2 linked regions of the Macaca mulatta genome follow. The protein of the gene in region 2 interacts with the protein of the main gene of each other region in a pairwise test. Links are inferred from orthologs where the notes say so. Each region holds a gene or a part of one and is shown on either strand. Other genes may lie near its edges.

Region 1 (3,655 bases), on a different chromosome or scaffold from region 2:
TTACCATGGGTGTCTCCCAGCTCTCACAATATTTGCTATAATTAAACTGCAGTACAACGAGTTGTATTTATTTATTTTGAGACAGGGTCTCACTCTGTCACCCTGGTTGGAGTGCAGTGATGTGATCTGGGCGCACTGCCAACCTCTACTTCCCAGGCTTAAGCAATTGTCCCACCTCAGCCTCCCAAGTAGCTGAGACCACAGGCACGCGCCACCACGCCGGCTAATTTTTTTTTTTTTTTTTTTTTAAATTTCTGGTAGAGGTGGGGTTTTGCTGTGTTGCCCAGGGAGGTCTTGAACTCCTGAGCTCAGGGGATCTACCTGCCTTTGCCTCCCAAAGTGCTGGGATTACAGGCTTGAGCCACTGCGTCCTACAGGTGATTCTGATGCAAAATCAATTTTGAGAACCACTGCTGTATTTAGTGTGATGAGGAACTAAACTCCATTATGGTAGACTCTGAAGGGGCACCTAAATTAATAATGTTAGAATCTAATGTATTTGTTGCCTTTCTTTTTTTTTTTTTTTTTTTTTTGAGACGGAGTCTGGCTCTGTCGCCCAGGCTGGAGTGCAGTGGCCAGATCTCAGCTCACTGCAAGCTCCGCCTCCCAAGTCTACGCCATTCTCCTGCCTCAGCCTCCCGAGTAGTTGGGACTACAGGCACCCGCCACCTCGCCCGGCTAGTTTTTTGTATTTTTTTTTTAGTAGAGACGGGGTTTCACCGTGTTAGCCAGGCTGGTCTCGATCTCCTGACCTCGTGATCCGCCTGTCTCAGCCTCCCAAAGTGCTGGGATTACAGGCTTGAGCCACTGCGCCCGGCGCCTTTCTTTAAAAATTATTATTATTATTATTGTCCGGGCACAGTGGCTCATGCCTGTAATCCCAGCACTTTGGGAGGCCGAGGTGGGTGGATCACCTGAGGTCAGGAGACCATCCTGACCAACATGGTGAAACCCCGTCTCTACTAAAAACACAAAAATTAGCCAGGTATAGTGGCATGCGCCTTCGTCCCAGCTACTCAGGAGGCTGAGGCAGGAGAACTGCTTGAACCCAGTAAGGTGGATGATGCAGTGAGCCCAGACTGCGCCACTGCACTCCAGCCTGGTGACAGAGTGACACTCCAGCCTGGAGACAGAGTGAAATTCTGTCTCATAAAATAAAAATAAAAAAAAAGGCCAGAGGCAGTAGATCATGTCTGTAATCCCAGCACTTTGGGAGGCTGAGGCGGGTGGATCACAAGGTCAGGAGATCGAGACCATCCTGGCTAACATGGTGAAACCCCGCCTCTACTAAAAATACAAAAAATTAGCCAGGCATGGTGGCGGGCACCTGTAGTCCCAACTACCCTGGGAGGCTGTGGCAGCAGAATGGCGGGAACCCGGGAGGCGGAGCTATCGGGCCACCGCACTCCAGCCTGGGCGACAGAGCGAGACTGTGTCTCAAAGAAAAAAAAAAGAAGGAAGGGTATAACATTTAATTTTCTTTTTTTTTTTTTTTTGAGACGGAGTCTGGCTCTGTTGCCCAGGCTGGAGTGCAGTGGCCGGATCTCAGCTCACTGCAAGCCCCGCCTCCCGGGTTCACGCCATTCTCCTGCCTCAGCCTCCCGAGTAGCTGGGACTACAGGCGCCCGCCACCTCGCCCGGCTAATTTTTTTTGTATTTTTTTAGTAGAGATGGGGTTTCACCGTGTTAGCCAGGATGGTCTCGATCTCCTGAACTCGTGATCCGCCCGTCTCGGCCTCCCAAAGTGCTGAGATTACAGGCTTGAACATTTAATTTTCACAGGATAATGGCAAATGAGGAAATTTCTCACTTTCCACATGATATATATTTGAAAACATGTATGGGTATTTTTGCCTTTCAAGGAAAAAGTATAAAAAAACCTCCACCCCCCTCCCCACCAAAATACATGAGCTTTAAAATGAATTTAAATTTAGACTTATACAATTATAATCAGAGTTTTGAAATAAAATATATTTATTAGGAAGTCAGCTTACATCATCAGTGTCTTTAACTCGAAGAATCTGTTCTCTCAGGTCTTGTAAATCGTTAAATGTGGACTGTGCTGTGATGGAATAAACTAATGCAAATCCTTGTCCATTTTTCATGTACAAATCCCTCATTGCTGTAAATTGTTCCTACAATAGAAAGAAAGGAACGTTAAAAAACAAGAATGTTTTGACAGTTATTTTTACAATTTCGAAGTCTATAATTATAGCTCAATGAAGAATATTGTAGTATTATGTAACTTTGTTAAAATTACAATCTATGACAAGATACTATTTGAAAAACTGGCATTTTAGTTCCTTTTTTTTGAGACAGAGTCTTGCTCTGTCACCAGGCTGGAGTGCAGTGCGCGATCTCAGCTCACTGTAACCTCTGCCTTCCGGGTTCAAGTGATTCCCCTGCCTCAGCCTCTAGAGTAGCTGGGACTATAGGCGGGTGCCACCATGCCCGGCTATTGTATTTTGGTAGAGATGGGGTTTCACTATGTTGGCCAGGATGGTCTCCATCTCCTGGCCTCGTGATCTGCCCATCTCGGCCTCCCAAAGTGCTAGGATTTACAGGCGTGAGCCATCACACCTGGCCAGAAATAGGTTTCTTATTTTAAAATCATACACCAAAGTAGATTTATATATAAAAAATATACTCAAGTGGAACAGAAATATCCCGTCCCCAAAAGTTACTAAAGGCAGCTTTTAAAAATACATCATAATGTGTAAGAGCACCTCAACTGTATCAGCCAAGTTAATCTATACAGCTATGACTCAAATGCTGTAGTTCTGTAGGGCTCCATTAGCATGATCTACACCATCCCATTTTCCCATACTACTTTTTCTTCGCTAGACTGAGAGCATTCGAAGGTAAGAACACAGTGACTGACATGTATCAGGTATTCAAACATTAGCTGAATGAATACCATACACCAACAACAAATTTTCCCTTCCTCTTCACATACCTACAAATCTAGTTTGTCTATAAATACCTGGAAGGAGAACAGATACCAATCAAAATATTTCTTTTTCTTTTGAGATGGAGACTCGCTCTGTCACCCAAGCTGGAGTGCAGTGGTGCGTTACCAGCTCACTGCAACCTCTACCTCCAAGGTTCAAGCAATTCTCCTGCCTCAGCCTCCTGAGTAGCTGGGACTACAGGTGCCTGCCACTGCATCTGGCTAATTTTTGTATTTTAATAGAGACGGGGTTTCACCATGTTGGCCAGGCTGGTCTTGGAACTCCTGACCTCAGGCGATCCACCCACTTTGGCCTCCCAAAGTGCTGGGATTACAAGGCATGAGTCATCGCACCCAGCCTCAATCAAAATATTTCACACAGCTGCTGAGGAATGAATGTATGCCTGTATTATTTGAAATATGGTAATATATTGTTTTAAAAGTACTAGTGAGACTGAAAATTTTCCTTCTAACACATTTTCTAAACTTTTAAATGACCCACTGCAATTACAAAAAGTGCAATATACTTTTTTTTGTTTTGTTTTTGAGACGGAGTCTTGCTTTGTTGCCCAGGCTGGACTGCAGTGGCACGATCTTGGCTTACTGCAACCTCCGCCTCCTGGGTTCAAGCTATTCTCCTGCCTCAGCCTCCCGAGTAACTGGGATTACAGGTGTGTACCACCACACTCGGCTAATTTTTTTATA
Region 2 (2,766 bases):
TCTTCCCCTCAGGCTGGAAGCCCTTGAATCTCATCCTACCGGTGAACTAGAGAGGACAACAGAGTGAGTGACCCCTGTTTCTTAATCTCACAGTCCACTCTGCCCAGGCTGCAGCTTTACCTCTCACCCTTGGCTGATTCCCTTCTCCCAGGGTAGCCATCTCTGTGCTGTCAACCTGGCTGGCCTCTCACCCTGAGGATTTTGGCTCTGAGGCCAAGGGTCAGCTTGACCGGCTTGAGAGCTTCTTACTTCAGACAGGGTATGCAGCAGGGAAGGGTGTTGGGGGGGGCAGCGCTGACCTCATCCGCAACCTCCGGTCCCGGGTGGACCCTCAGGCCCCCGACCTTCCTAAGCCCCTGGCCCTCCCCGGCGATCCCCCTGCTGACCCCACGGATGTCCTGGTGTTCCTCGCTGACCACTTGGCCGAACAGCTGACCCTGCTAGATGCGGTGAGACCCTGACCTCTGGCCCGTATGCCCCCTGACCCCTTACTAACCTCTCCTTGACTCCAGATCCTTTCCTTGCTTCCACCCTTTCCTGATCCAGCTCCTAGCCTCCTTCACCTACCATTTTGACTTTCCCTTTTTCCTTTTGGTTGTTACCCTTCAAACCCTGTGCCCCTCTGGTTCCTTGGCCACCTGAGATCCTCAGATCCCTAATATTGGAAGGCTGACCTCACTTGACTATGAACTTTAACCTCTTACCTCTACCCTGCAGGAGCTATTTCTCAATTTGATCCCCTCTCAGTGCCTGGGAGGCCTGTGGGGTCACAGAGACCGGCCAGGACATTCTCACCTCTGCCCATCTGTCCGAGCTACTGTCACACAGTTCAACAAGGTGGCAGGGGCAGTGGTTAGTTCTGTCCTGGGGGCTACCTCCACCGGAGAGGGACCTGGGGAGGTGACCATACGGCCACTCCGTCCCCCCCAGAGGGCCCGCCTCCTGGAGAAGTGGATCCGCGTGGCGGAGGTGAGAAAGAAGATTGCCCCACGGTGGGTGGCCATGGCATGGAGAGGGCTCCCATAGCCTTAGCTCTCTTTGACCCCCACAGGAGTGCCGGCTGCTCCGAAACTTCTCTTCAGTTTATGCTGTGGTGTCAGCCCTGCAGTCCAGCCCCATCCACAGGCTTCGGGCAGCCTGGGGGGAAGCAACCAGGTGGGGAGGCTGAGGCATTGGACTGGGGTGGGGGTTCCTCAGAAGGCAGGGAAGAGGGGGTGACAGAGCCAGGCCTGTCCTCAGGGCCACTTTTCTCCCTCCCCCAGGGACAGCCTCAGAGTCTTTTCTAGCCTCTGCCAGATTTTCTCCGAAGAGGATAATTATTCCCAGAGTCGGGAGCTGCTCGTGCAGGTGAGAGCCTGGTTTGTGGCATTCCCCCCTCTCCCTGCTCCCTACTGCTCCCCCATGTCTCTTTATTTTGTCACCACCAGGAGGTAAAGTTGCAGTCTCCTCTGGAGCCACACTCCAAGAAGGCCCCGAGGTCTGGCTCCCGGGGTGGGGTGAGTGACTAGCTGGGTGGTGGGCTTGGGGGTTGTGATTATGAAGGGGTGAGGAGTATGTTTTAGGGGAGCAGCCTGAAGGATGGGTAAGGGAGGCACAGAGGGGTGAGGGGTGAGGAGAATGAAATCTGTTCTCTGAGGCAATGGGGAGGGCAAGTGCGGAGGGACGGAGGGCCCTCACATCAATGGCAGGCACGTCTGACCCTGACCCCTGACCTCAGGGTATAGTCCCATACCTTGGCACCTTCCTGAAGGACCTTGTGATGCTGGATGCAGCCTCCAAGGATGAGTTGGAGGTCAGTGGTGTGTGTGTGTGTGTCATTATGATGATGTAACAAGTGGGCTGCAGGGTCCGACAGATCCCCCCCTTGCAAGGGGCTGTAAGGCACAAATAGCTGAGTGTAGGACAAAGCCAGATCTATTTCTGTGCCAAGTCGCCTCAGTGGTCTGTAAATGAGAAACTAGAAATAGCATCTACATTGATCTGTTATTATAAGGGTTAAATGAATTGTATTTGTCAAGCGCTTAGAACATGCCTGAAACGTAAGCACATCTAGGTTTTGTGATGGGGTCCTGCTCTATTGCTAGAGTTTGTTAAATAAACAAATACTGAGACCTTGGGCAAGTTCCTTATCCTCTCTGGATGAGGAATCCTATCCAATTGGATACTATCCAGTCTTCTCATCTGCAAAGCAGACTAGTTGTCTACCTGAGATATTAAATTTCAAGGGTCAAGTGCAGTGCTTAGGCCATGATAGATTGAGGGGGAAGGCAGGGAGGGATGGAAGAGTCAGAGAGGCTAGAGGGAAGTGATTGTGAGTTGGATGTGGCTGTGTGTGTTTAAGAGAGGGGATATTCTCTCTCTGTGGCCTGGAAGGTAGTGTTAGAACTTCCACCCCATCCCCATTTTCCTCGCAGAATGGATACATCAATTTTGACAAGCGGAGGAAGGTGAGTGGAGTGCCTGGGCTGGATGCTGGACTTCTCAATCCATGTTCCCGGAAGGGGAGGGGGGAAAGTCAGGTGTCCCTGAGTTTTGGCTCCTGCAGTTTGAGGGCTCCTTCCCAGGAGTTTGCAGTCCTTTCTGAGTTGCGACGGCTCCAGAATGAATGTCGTGGCTATAACCTCCAACCTGACCATGATATCCAGAGGTGGCTACAGGGGCTCCGGCCACTGACAGAGGCTCAGAGGTGACTGGCGGGTGAGGTTGGGACTCTAGGGCTCTGGCCAGGTGTGGGGGATTGGTGTCATGTCCTGAGCTCTGTCTTTT

The links.
Region 1: the proteins of RGL2 (region 2) and RAP1B interact in a two-hybrid assay, tested with the Homo sapiens proteins (2 studies listed by BioGRID and IntAct). The link is inferred for Macaca mulatta from reciprocal best matches to the Homo sapiens genes RGL2 and RAP1B.

Annotation. Positions count from the first base shown.
Region 1 is NC_133416.1:75,773,569-75,777,223, reverse strand, and holds part of RAP1B (ras-related protein Rap-1b), read right to left. Parts: intron 2,136-3,655; coding exon 1,995-2,135; intron 1-1,994. UniProt on the Homo sapiens protein: GTP-binding protein that possesses intrinsic GTPase activity. Contributes to the polarizing activity of KRIT1 and CDH5 in the establishment and maintenance of correct endothelial cell polarity and vascular lumen.
Region 2 is NC_133409.1:148,993,998-148,996,763, forward strand, and holds part of RGL2 (ral guanine nucleotide dissociation stimulator-like 2), read left to right. Parts: intron 1-12; coding exon 13-63; intron 64-151; coding exon 152-449; intron 450-717; coding exon 718-969; intron 970-1,051; coding exon 1,052-1,155; intron 1,156-1,262; coding exon 1,263-1,347; intron 1,348-1,427; coding exon 1,428-1,496; intron 1,497-1,717; coding exon 1,718-1,792; intron 1,793-2,414; coding exon 2,415-2,447; coding exon of another isoform or gene 2,448-2,564; coding exon 2,565-2,686; intron 2,687-2,766. UniProt on the Homo sapiens protein: Probable guanine nucleotide exchange factor. Putative effector of Ras and/or Rap. Associates with the GTP-bound form of Rap 1A and H-Ras in vitro.